Linked DNA regions of Arabidopsis thaliana. The protein of the gene in region 1 interacts with the protein of each later gene in a pairwise test. Each region holds a gene or a part of one and is shown on either strand. Other genes may lie near its edges. The genes, in order: AT5G42000, ENODL15 and VP2.

Region 1 (5,712 bases):
GACACACAGAGACGAAAGCTCCTTGAATTGCTTCTTAAAAGACTGAACTCGAGTTAATTGCCTCCGTATCGATGATCTCGTTGACTCACCATCAGTGCACTCTTCAGTTTTGTCAAGAACATGAGTTAACACACCTAACTTCTTTAACCACCCTTTAGCTCCTTTTTTAGGCGATTCTTCATAACGACTCATTGGAGAGTTCGGTAAATCTCCATAGCTATCAAACCTACTCGAATCAGATTCACTCAATCCCTCAGCAATGCTACTACTATTACTTGAATAGTCTCTCGTCAGCAAAATCTGATCATCAATGTTCTTGGCACGATTCTGAAAAGAACCTCTGAAACTAAATGCTTCAGCCAAAGATGCAGTTGAGAAAGATGAAACGGAGGATCCAGAGGAAGTAGATTCATTCCTCAACAACTTCTCCTCCTTCTCTTCCTCCTCGTGATCAGTTTCAGACACAGAGGTCAACTGTTTCGAAACCGGAATATGGTCGGAACTAGAGTCTCCCAACAGATCAAGATCAAGATCAAAGTCTCGTTTTTTGAAACTAAAACCCATAGATTGAAAAAACTTTTGTCTACGGTTAGTAACACTCTCTGGATTCATAGTCCAAAGATCTAAATCACCAGTTGCTTGAACAAAGTCATCGGCGACTTCAGAGTTACAATCAGAAACAGATGAAACCTCCTCACGAGCATCAGAAAACCAATCTTCCTCTTCCTCGTTCCCTCGAGTACCCATCTCACAGCTTCTGATCAAAAACACACAGATTTCGTCAGAATTCACAAAGTCAAATATCGGACACAATTGCTGAAAAAGGACAGAAATTTGCAACCATGGTTCGAATAAAACTAATCCACACGTAACACCAAAAGGAAGTAGTAAGATAAACTCATGGCAAATCAATACCATCGGCAAAAAGGAGATTACTTAAGGGTAAAGCAAAGAACCCAACAGAGAAAACGAAGAGTTTATGAGAGATTTACTTACATCTTCACCAAAATCAAACCGGGTTTGAATCAAAATTCTGCTCTTTCTTATAAATAGTCTTTGTCTGGTCAAAATGATTGCATCGAAACGAATGAGTTTAAAACTCTTATCCAAACATTGCGACGATTCGGGTCACGTTTCTTAAAGTCGCAAATCCTTGCGAAGGTTTTTATAAACAAAAGGTTGGGTTTTGAAAGAAAGATATTGGAGAGGGTTTAAGAGCGAGATATTCGGAAATTGAGAGGTTTTGTTTCTTCGATTGTACGAAGAAGAAGAAGAAGAAGAGAGGAAGAGAGAAACAAATAAAACAGAACAAAGATCCTTTCCTTCTTCTTTTGTCTTTTTCTTCTCTCTTGTTTTTTTATTTATTAAAAAACTAATTTTGAAATAGTCAAACATTTGTTTGCACTTACTTAGTCAACATGAATATTCTAATCCCACTTTTATTTCAATAATCATATGTTGATTTGTCTTTCTTTAATGTATTTTTACTTTTCTTCTCTTGATTTGAGATAAACGACATTATACTACATCTTAATTTAAGAAAAATTGATCTTTCCCATTATTTTTTTTTGTTTTTCCACGTTTTGATTTGGTCATTGTTTGTTTTAGTTATTTGCCTATTGATAGATGAACAAATTCTAGTCTTTTTTGTGTGAGTCAATATCGATATATGTTACCCACCTATTCACTAAACAATTAGGAACAAGGTGATAACTCAGGGTACAAATGGACAAATTGTTTTTAAAAATTCCCTATTGTTTTTAATTTGGTTTAATGTCATCTAATTATTCATTTACACACTAACAGTAAATTTGAATATAAAAAAAAAATATTGTTTTCAGGTGGTGGGAACACGATTTTGTCAATTTCCCTTTTGAGCTCAATACATTACCTCACGTGTGCTAAAATGTCTTTACCCTTGTCACTAACGTAATTCACCAACAACAACAAAATCATCGGATTTAGTTATAAAGATGATATATATATATATATCAAAAACGGTATATATAAATAAATCTTCCCCAACTATTCATTCAAACCCTAGATTGCTCGCTAAACAACTTTCTGTTGTAACCAGTTTTGGGATTATACAAATAAGAAACTAAGAGAACCACAAAAGAGATCAAATATGAATTGATTAGAAGCCCCAAACAAAGAGTAGAAAGGTTTGAATATGCGATGATGGGATGTGACCAAATAACACATTTTCTCCGGTTAAGGGATTCAATGTCTGTATAGTACAGACATGTTGAATGATGATGATGGCATTTGTTGTTGGATTCCACATTCCAAATACTCTGATTCGCATTATACACAGACCTTTTTCTTTGTTTTCTCAAGTTTTTTCATTGGTCTCCATTGATTCCAAATATGCGGACCTTGTGCATGTGCGGGAATTTCGCAACCACCATGACAAATACAGCCAGTGTGTTGAGAAAGAGCATCGGGTGCTGATAGTCTGTTGTGTGAGAGGCTATCAAGTACCTACATACAAAGTTTGGTCAGACTTTTATGTCACAAAGATCCAATCATTGATTACATATTCGTCACACACAACACAATTGAGGTATTCCACTACACATAATCTAGTAGTGCTTCTTTTAAGAGAGATTCAGCAAACTCATAACAGACCTTATGTCTTGTACGAATGTCTAAATCTAAATCTAAATCCAAGGCTCTTGAGCACTAGCTAAAAGACCTTAATAATCAAGCGAGTTTAATCATAGTAGGAAACTTAGGTCCAACCCTAATCAGTGAACAGATTTGAAGCACTAGTCAACAAACAGAAATCAAAATGAGAAGAACGGTAGTGTCTTGACTCTTGTGTATCTGATTGTCATGTCAAAATGTATTCTGTGTAGTAATAATTGCAAATCAAATTGTCAAAACAACCACTTCACCTAGGAATAGAATTGTAATTAAGCTCATTGACTAGCATCTCTATATAACCAGATGTAAAATGAGCTACAATAAGATAAAGAACAAGTAGGTAGGGAAACGAAGATCAATGTATCTCTAAAACATAACTTAAGCAAAAATTACACCAAATACAGAAACAATCATAGAAAATAAGGTAAGGCATTCAATTTTTCGATACTGAACAAGATCAACAAGAGATGATGATGCAAAACAAAATCCTAATGAGATATGAGAGAAGGAACTTACAAGACAACAGGAACAACGGTGAGAAATTTGCGATTACGTGTAAGCTGCTTGCCATTATCAATCTGTTCCCACCAAGTCAATCTATTATAGACTCCTTGATCATCTCCAAATGGTGTTCCCTTCTTCCAATGGAAGGAATGATACGTGACCTAGAAAACAAAAAAACTCAAAAATTCAAATCTAGAAACCAACAATTTCGAAATTGGATCGGAGGAGATCGGGAATAATACGGTGAAATGAGCGAGATGAACAATGGTCCAAGCGATGCCAGGAGAACAATGGAAGACGGAGAGAACGAGGAGCCAAGAGAAGAAGAGGATGAGAATATAAGTAGTCCAAACACCAGGATATGTGAACCACTCTGTGTTCCGATTCACATCCGTCGTCGGAAGTGCTCTTACGTACATCGTCTTTTTCACCGGAGGGATTTGGAAGAAGATCGGAGATGATGATTGATGAATCGTCGTTGAGCAAGTTTTCTTTCTTCTTTGTTTTTTTTTTCTCTGCTGCGTTCTTTGGGCTCTTTCTGGGCTTTTTATTTTCTACAATTTTTTTAAAAAGAAGCATTAAATTAAAATAGGAAGGTGGTTGGGTGGCTCACCGATCTTAGCCTAAAACAATGATTATCAGTAACTCTGTCTCAAGACTCTCAACGCGTCACTCGATAAACCACGACGACTCATATTTTTAATTTATTGGACTTTTCTTGTCAGCTTACATAGAGGCCCATTACAAAACACACCGGTTTTCCGACCCGACCCGTACCTTTTCATCCGATAATTTAATTTACATTTTCAAAATATGTTCTGAAGTTAATTCTTGACCATATTAGTAAGAGTTATTTCATTTTATTTTTGAACAAATTTTAGCTGCCAAATTTCGAAATCCTTTTTTTTTTGCTACCAAATTTTCCATCCAGTGCTTCCGTGAAAAATATTTCGAATAAAATACCATTTTAAAAAACATCTTCGAATAAATATCTAAAATTATCAGTTTTTTGTTCTTCTCATATTTTCAACTTGATGAGGATTAGATTTAGATTCACCTAATGATTACAATAAACACGATTAAGCCTCGTTGGTTTTTTAAGACAAACTTACAATTTTTTTGTTTTTTCTTTTCTTCATCACACACTCTGTCTCACCAACTTATTCAATAAAAGCAATTGGACTTTTAACACAAAATATATTATTCAACGACAAAATGATTTCGTATTAATGCTATACTATCCAAGGTTCATTAAATTTGAACTAGCTATATCTTTTTATTAAACTTATAGAATTTAGATTCCACAATTTCTTGATTTCCATGCACAGAAAAAAAACTTTAAATAGATTACTATTCCCTCTAATTAAAATATAAGATGTTATAAAAGTTTATCTTTTAAATATTAAAAAATATTTTGTTAGTTTCTATGAAAATTAAATGTATTTGATAATTTGTGATCATTTATATTCTGCAGTTTTTTCTTATGATTAGTTAAAATTTTTAATTCTATAAATAATATTTTTTAGAAAGAATGATCTTAATATGTGTGATTGTTTTAAACATTTTATATTTTGAAACAAAGGAAATAACATCGTATTTCTGAGGATTTACATAATGTTTTTTTTTTGGTGCACCTAGCATAATGTTTTATTAGTAGAAATTATTCATAACCTGAAACATGTAATTGCATAAATGGCCTAAAGTCAGCTGAAATAAAATGAAAACAGAGGATACATAATTAGTAGAATAATCTCAAATATAAGAGAAAGTGCGTTAGTTGATAAAGACAGATAATTTGACTTTCCGATTTATTTGGCCGCCAACCTTTTTTTGTTTTGTTCTTCCTAAATTCCCTTTCTCCGAAATTCCTTTCATTGATTTCATCATCATCATCATCCTTCGTTTTTTCTCTATCGATCTAGCAGATTCTTTCGGGGACCAAAATCAAAATCATGGTGGATCATCAATGGAAGGATTTAATCGGATAAAAGAGAAGAGACGGAATCACGACGGGAGAAGAGATCGGGAAATCGGAAAATCGGAGATGATGGGGATTTCTTTCGCCGCCAAACTCCGTTTCCGATCTCGATTTCGAACTTCTTCAATCGATTCTTATTGCTTCGCTCGTGAGGCTTTCTCCGATTGTATCTCCTCCGTCCATTTCTTCTTCTTATAACCTTTTTCTTTGTAATAACCTCCGTCCTCTTCAGCTTTCTTTCTTTTCATCTTCAATCTCACCTTAAATTCTCCACTTTTTTCTTCTTCTCCTTCTGTTCTCGATTGCTTTGTTTGTTGTGTTGTGCATACATATATGGCTTCTGGTTCTGGATTTTTAGGTCAGATATCGTCCATGGAAGAGGCTGATTTTGCCGAGAAAGATCCTTCTGGCCGTTACATCAGGGTACGTCACTGTCTTCGTTGATTCATGTGTGAATTTGCATTCAATCTCGTTTGGTTGAGTGTTTTTTATTGTTGAATTATGAGGAAATTGATCAGAATTTGAGAATTTTGACCTAGTTTAATGAGTTCTCTTTGTAGTTCTACCTAATGAGGGCTGTT
Region 2 (4,533 bases), on another chromosome or scaffold:
TCTATAAACCTCCATTGCCTCTGTGCAAAACCTAGACTTAAGCAGAAGATGAATCAACCCATTGTATGAATATGCATTCAACACAAAACCAAATTCTCTCATCTTCCGAAGTGCATAAGGTGCTTGCTTCAATCCACCTTTCACAGAAAGACTCTTGAAGATAGTCAAGTAAGTATTAGTATCCCTCTTTATGATTCTTTTCTGCATCAAATCAAACACATAAGCCATTTCCTCAAGTTTACCATCAACCCTCAAAGCTTCAAGCATGTAGTTACAAGTCTCAGTAGTGTGAACTAAATTCAAATTCCCAGCCACTGATTTGAAATACGAAAATGAAGAATCAGTATCAGGAAACGACTTTAAACCCCTCGTTACTTCTTCACTCGATGACAAATCAGGTTTTGAGCTCTTTCTTATCATAGAACCCGAAAAGTCAGAACTTTTCATGGAGACTACACTACATCTCATACTCTTCCTTCTCCAGTGTTTCTTCCGAGACCCAATCTTCAAAGCGTGGAACTTTAATCCTCCAGTAACCAAATTATCGCGACATTTTGCTTTGATGTTACTAACAAGACAAGCATCACCAACTGATATATCACCACACAAACTCGCAGAGCAGAGTAACGCGACCATTCTAGAGATAAGCCAAGCAAGCAAAACAATTCAATTCTCCGGCAAAAATTGAAACGAAAACAGAGATTAACGATGATGATTCATCACATTTCAAGTGGCGCAGATATAACTAACAAAACACAAACACGTGCTGAATAGCTATGAGCATTTTGATTCGTCTCCGTTCACCGGCTGAAAAGAGCGCGAGGGAGTCGATTTCGGTGAACCGGAGATTTTTGATGAAAGAATTTTCGAAGCAGAATAATAAAAAACTTGCCGAGAGGATAAAATCAGACTCGCTCCACTCGATCCTTACCGTTTTGCTTCCCTCCCAAAATATCTTTAGGCCCAATTCAGGCCCATTTTTAGGCCTCTTTTCACGACAGTCCAGGTTTCTTTGTGTTGCTGTAAATTACCTTTTTGGGTACTAAATTCAAAATTCTCATTCACTTTTGTTTTGTTTTCTTTGTTGATTGTTGATAGATCCAACTAATTTATCCAGAATTGAAAAAGAGGAAGAACAATTTAGATTAAAATAAATTTAATGTAGTAAATAACAAAGATTTCTACTTTATATTCCAAAATTAATAAATAGAATTAAGACTAATTGTCTTTTAAAAGAAGAAGGCCCATAATCCAAGAACAAGCCCAAATACGACACTAAATCCGCCGGCGAGCTTAGCGGCACCACTAGTAGGAGCTACGGCTGGACCGTCGAACTCAGATGGCGAAGGACCTGGAGAGAAAGCAGAGTTACGAGGAGTGATGACGACTAGGCGTAGCTTCTGACCCTTTTGACAATGACCCTCTGTTCCACTGACGAAGTAGACCGGACCAGCTTGGTCAAGCTTCACCTTTGTGTTCCCGTCGGTGTAGCTGGCTTTAGGGCTAGTGGTGTTGCATTTCTCGTATGCTTCTCGTGTCACTTGCAAAACCGAGTCTTTACCGGCTTCGTACTTGAATACTGTAATAAACATGTGACGATGTCAGAAACAGAGTATATTGAAGATCACACAAAATGTCTAATTGAAAAAAAAAAGTTGAAAATTATGGATTTACCGATAAAGTCGCCGACTTTGAAGCGAGCCTTTTGAGCCCATTCGTTAAAGGAGAAAGAAGAGGAAGGAGGGATCTTCCAGTCACCGGATTTTCCACCGACGGTAACCTCATTTGCATTCACGGACGAAAAGAAGAAGACAGAGATGCAGAGGAAGATGGTGACCAAAAGAGAAGAAGAAGCCATTGATTAGAATCTAAAACCTTAAAAGTATTAGAGTGTGTAATGTGTTTTAAAGTGTGTTGAGGATGGAGAGAGTGTGGATCTTGTGTGGTTTATATAAAGGTAGAGGACTTGGAAACTAGCCGTTTAGGAATTACGAAAAATTAAAAGGAAAAAATGGTAAATGTTAATGTATCCGTTGGAGAGATGATAAAGGCAACGTAACGGTTAGGATTGAGCGACAAAACTTGAACTCTGATAGAGAAAGTGATTTCACGGTCTTCTAGGAAGACTGGTCAAGCTAAGCTGTTTCTGTTTTTTGTTTTTGTACTTTACTTTTTGTTTGCTAGTGGGAACTGGGTTTATTGGGCCTTGAAGTTGATAAAAGATGAATAAAAGACATATCGCCTAAAGCCCATATGAGAAGCAGAAGACAAAAACCTCCAACTTTGGGCATAAATTTTGATTATAGTTAAAAGTCCAGACCCAATTTGGCACCTGGCTTAGTTACGATTCTAAGGCATGACACCTGCCTAATATGTTTATTACAGAAAATAAAGAGAATCAGCTAGGTGTCCCTTATTGAACACATTAACAAACTCCAACGACACTACGTGTCTTCGTGACTCTTACTATATCCAAAAACCTATAGCTAAAGCTGAATTTTCCATGATTAGTATAGTCCCAACCAAAAAAATACTGAAGAAGGCATAAGCATGGCCGGAGAAGAAGACTGGAGAAAAACAGCAGATACGACGAAGATGAGCTCGGAGGGAGTAAAAGCTGCCGGCGTTGAGTCATCAAAGAGGCCGCCAGGAAGTAATCCAGGTGGTGTTCTTCATCAACGCCGTAACTTGCCATACAGTTACACGACGATGGCTCTAGCCGGATTAGCTATCTCGGGGGCCATCATGTACACTGTTATGTATGCTAAGAAGAAGCCGGAAGCCACTGCCACTGATGTAGCTAAGGCTGCCACAGGGACGGCTAAACCTGAAGATACACATCCAAGAAAGTAAAATTTCAAGGGAAGAATTAAAGGGTTTATCTTCTTCTTCTTTTTTTGCTTTTGTAATTTTGTTCTTGCTTCATGCTCTTGTTGGAACTTCTTATTTACTTGTAATAAAATAACATAACGTGTCCAAGAATGGCTTATGTCAACTACTAGAGCAAGCAGAAGAATAAAATGGGAGGAATAGAGTAGTCTTGTGTAGCAAATGCATGCGTATAATTTAGATCACCGAATCCTCTACATTTCTCTGTGTTATGTCGCTTAAAAGTAGGGCCATTATTGTGGGCTTCTTTTGCGTATTAATATTTTTGGGCCATATCCTAAAAGATGTGTAGAGCATCATCATGCATGGCATTCAAAGACTACAAATCCGGTTTTGCAGTCTTTTGATATGACTTTGATTACGTTTTTATATTTCCAGTCTTAATGAAAAATAGAAAATTCCAATTGTTTATGGAATTTATTCAGTTTGGTTTTGATTTAGTTTTAGGGTAAATTCTCTAACAAGAAAACTCAATTTGAAAATTTCGAACGGTGTGATTATTTTGAATCGGCAATGTGGTCTTGATTACTTACTGTCAAGTGCCAAATAAAAGTTTAAGGAAAGAAATAGTAATTTTTTAGTCAACTACAAAATAATAGCAAGTTGATTCTATGAGACAATTGGTGATTCGCATGTCTTTAAAAAACGTTGATTGGCATAAAATAAGATCGTAACGTTATAAATATGAAAAAATTAGGTGAGTCCACTTAATGGCCCAGAAAAGTAAGTGTATTGACATAGGCTGTTAGGTAGAAACACTCATGTGTTGCTTTATGAGCATAAAACCTGGACGACAAACTTTTTTTTCTCTCCTCACCAACTGCACACATTTTATTTATAAATCAACATTTTCGTCTTTAAATTAGGCTGATCATCGTTTACTTTCTAATCAATTCTGATAAAACATTCAAAGTACTACTACTAAAAGCTTCAGTTCAAGTATCCACTACTTAGAAACATATCTAACGGCTCGTCCATAAGCCATAACTCATGACTAACAATTAAATATCTAAAATCTTCACTTTCCAATTTTTCAATAACAAAAAGATAGAAATTCAATGACTTAAATGAGATTTTGCATAAGTTTGGTATGTAACGTCATTAGAATCAACTCTCTCACTCGTAAATATTAATTAGAGCTACAAATTTAATAGATACGTACATTATATATATACATTGTTTTGTGCAAAATAAAACAAATGGCCACGTTATTTTTTACTTGGATAATAGGGTTTGTGTACTTATTCCTCAAACCCATATGATAACATTTCGTCATTTGGCAAATACAGCTTACTATTACGAAACTCACACCACTATTACAAAACATCCAATTGAGTCTTCTCCATATTGGTGGAGTCTTCTATCATTTTATTTCATGATGTTCAAGAAGAAAACAATAAGATAAAGATAGACCTGAAAACGACCAAAGTTATTCTGCGGAAACTATTTGTACATTCCAAATAATTCAAGTAAGTTTTACACAAATAAAACTAAGGGTAAAAACTAATTTTCGTCTACTTATAAAAAGGTAAAAGAAGTTAAAAAAAAAAGAGTAGGAAATTATAAAGAAATTTATGAAGAAAGGAGAAAAGGAAGAGAAGAAGCACAAGGTTGCAATTATGGAGGTTTGGACCCATAGTCAGT
Region 3 (9,215 bases), on another chromosome or scaffold:
TGTAATGAGATTGGTGATATCTCTGAAGCTTCTTCAGTTTTGTCTGTTTGCATTGTTCATATAACCGCTAGTGTATGTACTTCCAGTGTTTGTATACAAATTCCTAACTTCTTACCAAAAAAAAATCGGCTGATGTGTGTGTATAAGTGTATGAATTGTTTTCGAGGGTTTTCAAAATATTCCTACCATGTTTTTGGACCAAAAAAAACAAACGGTTTATTGAAAATTATGAAAAATATGCCGAATTTTCTCTCTGGAAACGGTTTCTCGCAATTTTTTTTCTTTCGTTTCTGAAACTGTACGCGAGGATGTAACTTCATTCATATTCTGAAAATTCACAGAAAATTTATTTATCTCTTTACGTTTGATAAACATGATTGTTGAGAAAATGATTGGAGCGAGTCACTGATTACCGTTCTAAGCAAAAATGGGAAACGCTATAGGCAAAGCATCAAACGACATCGGAGGTTTTATCGGGAATATTTTCACAGCACCGTTAAAAGCCACACTTGGAAGATCCTGTTTGTAAGATTTTCACGTCATTGTCTGAATTCTGTCGTGAAATCGCTTTGGTTTGTTTTTCTATCGCATGTTTTGAGGATTTCTCTTCTGTTTAAAAATTACAGAGATGTATGCTCGGGACCATGGGATCTTGAGTGTTTCATAGAACATTTCTGTCTTCCTGATATTGCAAAGCTTGTGCTGATGTCAAGCCTCTGTTTCATAAGTAAACCTTTCTCTTATTTCCGATTTTTAGCATTCACTATTGATTCTGTGAACTTTCCTTTGTTTTCTATAATTTTGTATTTGTTTCTTTTTCCCAGTTTTGATGTTCATCACCCTCCTGTTCAAGCTTGGAATTTGCCAATGTGTTGTGAAAAGTATCTGCAAAATGTCATGTGCCGCTTGTGCAGCGTACTGGTTCGACATTGGAGAGATGATTAGTTGCTTGTGTCACAGTTTGACTAACATAAATCGGGTCAACCGTCGCAGAAAACGTCTCGATGATATAGAAGCTACGACCTATGATTATCCGAGTGATGATGAATCAAGTTCATCGGACAGTCCCAGTCGAATAGATAACATTAGACCAAAGCAGAGAAGAAGAAGACTAGGAAGCAAACACAGCCACCACCATCATGGCAGCAATCGCAACAACCGCCGTCTCATAAGACTACCGAGTAGACAATTGTCTGTACGAGTTGGAGGCAAATCAAGAAGAGTAAGAAGAAGTACTAGAAAGATTAAATCGAGGAAAATAAAGACTCTCAAAGTCAAAGATGTGGTTGATTAAAATGTCTCTAGAATTCCTTAAAGAGTGTCTCTAAACTCAAAAACAGAATTATCTCATTTATTCAGATGAAATGAAACACAAAAACCATTAATCCATGTAAATCATTTTATAACCAACCTCTCTCCCTCTCTATTTGTATATGTGCAAGAGAGTAAATAAGCCGGGATGGATAAGTAACGGTTCACTTTCAGAGGAAAACCGGAGCCATGACGAGAGTTATAGTCGCAAGCATTTTTATGAGGACGTGAATGGATGGACCGGCTGTGTCCTTGAACGGATCTCCCACGCTACAATTTTCAGATGAATTCTAATGAGAAATCGTATTCAGGAATATAACTTTGAATGAGTGTTGAAGTAGAACGAAAATACTTACGTATCACCAGTCACAGCTGCTTTGTGAGCTTCACTTCCTTTGCCCCCAAGTGCCCCGGTCTCTATGTATTTCTTTGCATTGTCCCAAGCACCTCCCGCCGTGTTTAGGAAAAGTGCCATTAAGATACCACAAACTGTTGCAAACATGAGCATAGAAGCTACAACTTTTGCTCCGAGCAGAGGTTGTCCTGTGTAGTAACCCAAGATTCGAAACACCAAACCTGAAAGAGAGAACAAGAGGTTTGTTTTTGGTCACAATGTTGTGGTTTCAAACTTTCAATACAGTAAGTAAAGAAAAACGAGTAGATATTACTGACTTACCAACTACAATGGGTGATGCAATAGCTAAAGCTCCTGGCTTTATCATTTCTCTTAAAGCTGCAGATGCGACTATGGCGACACAGCGACTATAATCTGGCTTCTCCTTGTACTCCTGCAACAAGATATTTGCTAGTCAACAACGGTACAAGCCAATACACAAGAAAAGGTGAAGCACTCAAAAGGAAAAATATGCTCACCATTATGCCAGGCCTCTCAATAAATTGCCTTCTTACTTCGTTGACAACCTCTTGTGCAGTTCGACCAACTGCCGCGCATGCCCAAGCACTAAAGAGGAAAATAAGCATGGCACCCAATAATCCACCAACGAACACTTCTGGGATAGCAATATCAACCTGATTTTATCCGAGGATGAGTATGAGAAGTTGTCTCAACATCGAGAATACAGCAACGATGCATAACGAAATCTACCTCTTTGAAAGACACATTAGCAAACGCTGAAACCTCGTCCATATACGCACTAAAGAGAAGGAATGATGCAAGTGCAGCAGATCCAATGGCAAACCCTTTCGTTGTTGCTTTTGTGGTGTTCCCAACAGCATCAAGAAGATCAGTGATCTCACGGACACTCTCTGGCTGCACGAAACATTTATTATTTCTACATAGAATAAAGATGGAACATAAGAGCCTTTCAAGCCAATCATGTGACATCTTACCTGCTGGCTCATCTCGACAATCCCACCAGCGTTGTCAGCTATGGGGCCAAACATGTCCATAGTAAGGACATAAGCTGCAGTGCTTAGCATTCCCATTGTAGCAACGGCTGTTCCAAATAGACCTCCAGTGGGAATACCATTTTCGTCCACTAGACCCGAGGTATTGCCCAACCAATACGCAGAAATAATAGCTACACTTATAGTCAAAACTGGAAGAGCAGTTGATTCCAGGCCCAAGCTTACTCCAGCAATGATATTAGTCCCATGACCAGTCGAGCTAGCAAGAGCCAACGTCCGAACAGGCTCGTGCTTATAGTCTGTATAATATTTGGATATCCAGACAAAGATATAGGCTGTGATGATGCCAACCAACCCACATAGGGCGAAATTGAACCATGCAGATGGAGCTTGTTCAGTGTAAAGCAGCCAGCGAGTCGACTACAAACATAAATAATGCTGTCAGAAGAATATAGCAAAGAATTTGTTCGAAATTTCAGTAATAACAAGGCTAGTGTAGGCTAATGAAAAGTCTGAACCAAAAAGCCCATAAAAAGCAGAATTAATTGTAAAAAGAATGAAAGGAACAAGACAATCAATGGTTATGTGTGACAACATTACCGCGCCAAATGTTATAACAGCTAATATAATTGTCAGAGAATATCCTTTCTGAAGTACAGCCATTGGATCCTCTACCGGAGATTTCACACTAGCATCACGTGTTCCCTTGATTGATAGAATACCAATTGAGGATATAATCAAGTCAAAAGAATGAACAACTAGAGGAAAAAGGATAAAGCCTGATGGATCTGCATAATAGAGAAAGATTTGAGTAAGTATCAAGCATGAACAAGAGGTTTAATAGGATGTTTATCAGCGCATATCTAACAACCACTGCTAGAAATGGGTAATGTTATTGAAATTTTTTGACTGCAGCCAAGTGTAGCTTGCTGTCATGAAAAGTAGTCTTCCTTCAATTTTCACACAATGCATAGCAGGTTCGTACAAGGTGCTTCAAACAATAACTCTATACAACTTATGTCGACTTTTTAAATCCTAACAAGTAATAATGTACCCTCAAATCCTCAAGGAGTGACCAAAACATGCAATAAAGCGTAGATTATTCTGTATACAGAATGTAATTTACGAGCTTGAACTCTCTATGCAACTCTTCCTAAGTTTGCATTTCAGATTATAAAATCCTAGCAGTTCATTTAATTTTCTCGGTATGAGTCAGGAACTCACACCATAAGTTATATATTTGCATATACCAGAAGTAACTTTAAAGAGAGATGGTGCACCTTCAATTTTGCACTTCTTAGCCATTGTTCCACCTAGTATCATTGCACTGATGATTTCTGCAGCTATACTTTCAAATAAATCAGCACCTCTAGCAGCACAGTCCCCCACATTGTCTCCAACCTACAAGAAGATGAAAATGGCTTTAAATGCCTAAATGACGAAAACACAAGCAAACCCTTGTAGAGTGATATATGCCCCAAACAAGGATGTCACGTTTGGGAATCACAGAATCAAGAAAGTAAGAAACAAAAAGAACAAAGATCAAATACCAAATCAGCAATAACAGCAGGATTTCGAGGATCATCCTCGGGAATTCCCTGCTCAACTTTCCCAACGAGATCTGCCCCAACATCAGCTCCCTTAGTATATATTCCACCACCCAACTGAGCAAATAAGGCAACAAACGAAGCACCAAAACCATATCCGACAAGAAGAAGAGGTACTGTAAGAGAAACAGAAAATTCAATCAATAAATCTTACAAGTTTAATAGCTCCACTATCGCCCATGCAAATGCAAATTCTGGTCAATAAATCAAGAGAATTACATATAGGGTTCACTGAAAATCTTAGAACTGTATTGGTACCCCACCTCAATCAAGATTAATACAAGTCATGACATATTTAAGAAAATACTGCTCATGTCTGAAAATGATCCTTTGAAAAGATAACAATAACTTTTTGAAACTCAGTACAATGATTATAGAATATACACACAAGACGAAAATGAATATTTTTCATAAAAAAAAAAGAGCAGAAGACTTACGGTCAGTAACATTCATTGAGCCTGGTGAACCCACGCCCAACCACACATAAAATGTAGAATAGAGGATGGCGATACCAATCACAGCCATACCAACAACAACCAGGGCTGAAAACCCACCAGCACGAACGGCTATCTGCATTATATCTGCCACTTAGTATTTGGAAACGTGTACATGACATGTTACCAAAATAGCTAAACTAAAGAAGAACCTGCAATGCTTCTCTCGCAGATCGTCTGGCAGCACTGGAGACCCGCACATTAGCACGAACTGACACCCACATTCCAACATATCCAGCAATACCTGAGCATAGAGCCCCCAAAAGAAATGCAGCAACAGTAATATAAGCAGACATCGCCCTGCAGCAAAATAGTAATATGGCTAAGCTTCATTCACAACAATTCAAAAGATAAAATAAATCTTGTGAATGTAATCATGTATCAGCACCTTCCTAAACCAGCAGCCTCTTGCTGGGGAGTTAAGCTACGGAATAGATATATGCAAAGAATCACAAAAGCTAGCAAAATGGCCATCTTGGATATAGTGCTATACTGCGTTCTGAAAAAACCTTCAGCTCCATCACGTATAGCATCTGATATCTATAAGTAAGAGAATTACCTCACAAATTAGAATTACAAATTTTTGATGAGAACAAAGAAGGAAAAATGTCAACATCATGACTAACACCACATAATCTGAGTGAGCTTACCTCAACCATCTCTGGAGGTCCTTCATCTTTCGCTAAAACCCACTTGGTTAGATATATTGACAAAAGGAAGCTGATGATGCATACTGTGAAGACGAACACGATGATGGGAGAAGTACTTGCCCCCATGTAAAAGATTGCTCCGAAGCAGAAAAGCAGAATTATCGAAAGGACACGGACATTTAATTTCCTAATAATCCGGAATATCTGCCAAAAAACAACTAAACTTTATACAATTTCAAAGAAAATGAAAACGAGATGCTCAAGAAACTAAGATGCTAAACGAAATAGAAGGAAACTAGTTATAATACGCATCTCAGTGATCTGATGCAAGCAAAAAGAAAAGCACTCAAGAAAGAGAGGAATAAAAGTTGTACCAGTGGACTATAGGTTTTACTACGCATGTTGGGAAAAGCCCTAGGCCTGTCATTGAAAGACATCAAACTGGCCTGCTCAACATCTTCATCCATCATCATGTTTTGAGCTGAATTAGCCCTTCGGACTATGTGTAGAGGCGTAAAGTCAATGCTATGGGGCAACTCCGCCCCAGAACTCGGACGCTGAATTTTAATACACTACAACTTTTTCCTCCAAACGTTAACAACAGCACATCACAAAACGAGCACAAGTTAGTATGAACCCTCTTAACTCTAGCTATATCTTTGATTCCAGCTTCTTCAAACTTTCTCAGTAGAGTTGCCACAACAAGTTTCCACCACAATCAAAATTTCTGAAAAAAATAGAAAAGTATGAAAAGTTGTGATGTTTCTCTTTACCAACCAAATAGCATTTTTAAATGAAATATAATCAGAGTAAGGTTCTACAGTAAAGTTTAGCTATAACTTTCATCATTTCCCATGAGCGTAATTGCTTCTACGATCAATTCCCCAGAAAAGTGCGATTAACAAACAGACCTCAAGATCTAATCGACTAAGATTTCAGTGAATAAAACGCAAGGGACTTTGCATTCCGAGTTTAATGAATCAAGCACCGTTACTTTAATTTAGATCTGAGTTCTGTTCTAAGAGAAATTCACATGATCTCTAGACAGGAAATGGATACGTTTCCAGAAACGAATCCAACGAAAAAAAAAAAGCATACGAAGAGTTTATCCGGAAACAAACCCTAAAAATCGGTAAAACAGAGAAGATGACGGCTCCGGTGAGAGTGATCAGAAGGAAACCGCCATTAGCGAAAGCTTGTTGTAGCCGAAGAAGCGCTCTATCCTCTCGCTGTCTCCGTTCTAAATCCGAAGACTTTTCACAGAACTTTCCGAATATTTTTTTCCTAAATTAATTTTTCTACCTTTAATTTTATTTTCACTCCTCAGTGGTTCAATACTAATTTTATGACACATCCTATCCAATGAGTCGTTGACACTTAATCACTATTCTCACTTAAAAAGTTAAAAACTTAAAATCATCCTCGTTTGTTAAATTATATAGATCGAGTTAAATTATCAAAAATACCCATCAATTTTGGAATATTAACATTTGAATATTATATGGGCCTAGCCCAAAATTATGTTTTGCCATTCGGCCCATATAATAGACAATCTGCAAAGTGAAGAAGAAGAAGAACCACTAACGTTATCTTACCGGCCCGATCACGGAGCTCACCTTTCATCGTCAATCTCCGGCGGACGAATTTCTCTTCGTAGCCGTTACTTCTCATTATTTCTTTGAAACTTTCTTAGAAAATTCTCTGTTTTGGTTAGGACAATACAAACAGAGGATGTTGATGACACTAGCGGCGACGACCTCCGTTTCATTTAACTCGAAGCTTCTCCTATTTCGAATACGTTGCTCGGATTCTAACCCTAAGCGTGGCTTCGGCTCAAAAAAGGTTTGATTCCAAATTCTTCTTTGTTCAACTTAATTTTGTTGATTCAAAGTACTGAGACAAAAATGTGAAATCGCATCACAGGAAGAGAAAGACCCGGCATTGCAGCAAAGGTATAAATAGTTTTTGTGTTTGTTTAAAGCATTTAGAATTTTAAATTGCTGTTGTTATATTTTCATATGGACTTCTTTGCTGCAGGAAATCATCTTCTAAACAGTCTGTTTCTGTACCCAGAAGTAAGTATAATTTGATTTTAAAGCATATTGTACGTAACAGATGTTGCTGCTCTCCTTCATGGTGTCTCGAACATAACTTCATTTTTGCATTCTTCAGTTTATCTCAAAAAGTTGGTTTCAATTGAAAGGTTTGCTCAAGAAACTCCTGCATTTGTTTGCAGAGGCACCTGGTCTGAATACTCAGTTTGAAGGAAAATCTGGTCGATCTTTTGATATAGACTTCGATGAACGGCTGGAAAACATCAGAAGGTACCTATGTTTTATGATTCTAGCATGAAGATTGGCTTTAGAGATATATAGGTTACAATAGGATTATTCCTCTGACAATCACACTTGACTTTCTCATTATACCCACAACGACATGATCTTCCTATGAAAGTTTGATTCTTTTTTTTTCTTGATTTGTTCATCACTTGTCTTGCTTTCCACTTCCCTCACCCCCTAGACATAGTCAAGATCATTGTCCTCCCACTGATCGGAATGTTATTTCTGTGACCTCTGCTCTTTTGATGAATCAGGTCAGCTCTTGAGCAGAAAAAGACAGAAGTAGTTAAAGAATTTGGTCCAATTGACTATGATGCACCAGTCAAGTCTGACCAGAAAACAATTGGTCTTGGTACTAAGGTACGCATACATAACATCTTGCAAGTGTTTATTTTTTATTTTGTTCTAAAACCACTTGAGGCCTATAAGCTACTCATACATAACATGACAAAACTTGGGCCCATGCCATGACAGGTTGGAGTTGGCATAGCTGTTGTTGTATTTGGTTTGGTTTTTGCTCTTGGTGACTTTCTTCCCACGGGAAGGTGCGTTAAGTGAAGTCCAAGTCATAACTGTGTCATTTACACCATGTTACTGTTTGTCATTTTCCTTCTTTTTATTCCAGTTTGTAATTGTTTGTGTAAAGATTCTGATGACATCATATGTTCTTAGGATCAGCTGGGTTGGTTTCCGTAATTTCACATTTTTGTCATACCAAGTCATGTTGTCATGTAATTTAGCCGGTGTCAGTTCTAACAATGTTTTTACCACTTTTCAGTGATAGTCCAACTAAGAACACAACAGTAGTTAAAAATCAAATTTCAGAAGAAGAGAAAGCCACGCTTCAGGTAATATTAGGGGCTGATCATGAAGATTTCGTTCATGAACTTTGATAATCTGAATAAAGTAAGATACGTAGTAAACATCTCGATTTTTTTTCATTTTGCAGCAAAGGCTCAAAGAGTTTGAAACAACTCTCAATGGCACGCCTCAGGATCAAGCTGCTCTGGAGGTGAGTGATAACATGCGCATGTTGTGCATACTATTAAATATCTTCTTCATCGGCATTTAGCCATTCATCTGTAGGCTTCCAATAGTAACAAGGAACAACTTAAACTAATAATCAGGTAGTATGTAACAGTTCTTACCTCCACATCTTAAATTGCATGGAACTTTTCTGTTTGCATTAACTGATTCACCGAAGTTAGTAATGTACACATAGTATGCTGAAAACAAGATAGGCTACCTCTTCTGACTTATTTATAATGCTAAAAAAATTCTTAAAGTTGGGGCACTATGCAGGGTGCAGCTGTGACACTGACTGAACTAGGAGATTATTCACGGGCTGCTGCGTTTCTTGAGAAACTCGCTAAGGTTTGTTCTCTCATGCTTTTATATTTTCTTATGGTTTCACATGAACATTCTTGTACGAGACTTAGCTAATAG

Evidence for each region.
Region 2: the proteins of AT5G42000 (region 1) and ENODL15 interact in a protein complementation assay, tested with the Arabidopsis thaliana proteins (one large-scale study listed by BioGRID).
Region 3: the proteins of AT5G42000 (region 1) and VP2 interact in a protein complementation assay, tested with the Arabidopsis thaliana proteins (one large-scale study listed by BioGRID).

Annotation. Positions count from the first base shown.
Region 1 is NC_003076.8:16,797,315-16,803,026, reverse strand, and holds AT5G42000 (ORMDL family protein), read right to left. Parts: upstream 3,810-5,712; 5' UTR 3,573-3,809; coding exon 3,396-3,572; intron 3,315-3,395; coding exon 3,166-3,314; coding exon of another isoform or gene 3,162-3,165; exon of another isoform or gene 2,485-3,161; coding exon 2,346-2,484; 3' UTR 1,925-2,345; downstream 1-1,924. Other genes in the region: AT5G42010 (Transducin/WD40 repeat-like superfamily protein), read right to left, coding at 1-747; WNK8 (with no lysine (K) kinase 8), read left to right, coding at 5,465-5,554.
Region 2 is NC_003075.7:15,399,123-15,403,655, reverse strand, and holds ENODL15 (early nodulin-like protein 15), read right to left. Parts: upstream 2,017-4,533; 5' UTR 1,859-2,016; coding exon 1,675-1,858; intron 1,580-1,674; coding exon 1,230-1,579; 3' UTR 1,027-1,229; downstream 1-1,026. Other genes in the region: PGR3 (proton gradient regulation 3), read right to left, coding at 1-636; AT4G31830 (uncharacterized protein), read left to right, coding at 2,551-2,853. UniProt on the Arabidopsis thaliana protein: May act as a carbohydrate transporter. Required, together with ENODL11, ENODL12, ENODL13, ENODL14 and ENODL15, for male-female communication and pollen tube reception and burst at the synergid cell surface of the female gametophyte.
Region 3 is NC_003070.9:29,669,028-29,678,242, reverse strand, and holds VP2 (vacuolar H+-pyrophosphatase 2), read right to left. Parts: upstream 6,749-9,215; 5' UTR 6,552-6,748; intron 6,464-6,551; exon of another isoform or gene 6,252-6,463; intron 6,158-6,251; 5' UTR 5,904-6,157; coding exon 5,805-5,903; intron 5,635-5,804; coding exon 5,431-5,634; intron 5,321-5,430; coding exon 5,169-5,320; intron 5,081-5,168; coding exon 4,933-5,080; intron 4,857-4,932; coding exon 4,724-4,856; intron 4,403-4,723; coding exon 4,230-4,402; intron 4,081-4,229; coding exon 3,960-4,080; intron 3,468-3,959; coding exon 3,280-3,467; intron 3,100-3,279; coding exon 2,662-3,099; intron 2,582-2,661; coding exon 2,417-2,581; intron 2,341-2,416; coding exon 2,185-2,340; intron 2,100-2,184; coding exon 1,988-2,099; intron 1,888-1,987; coding exon 1,668-1,887; intron 1,582-1,667; coding exon 1,482-1,581; 3' UTR 1,412-1,481; exon of another isoform or gene 1,295-1,411; coding exon of another isoform or gene 825-1,294; 3' UTR 728-824; downstream 1-727. Other genes in the region: AT1G78922 (uncharacterized protein), read left to right, coding at 428-525, 627-727, 825-1,294; AT1G78915 (Tetratricopeptide repeat (TPR)-like superfamily protein), read left to right, coding at 7,162-7,272, 7,354-7,382, 7,468-7,505, 7,667-7,754, 8,024-8,129, 8,244-8,323, 8,442-8,492, 8,548-8,617 and 2 more. UniProt on the Arabidopsis thaliana protein: Pyrophosphatase active in both inorganic pyrophosphate hydrolysis and H(+) translocation.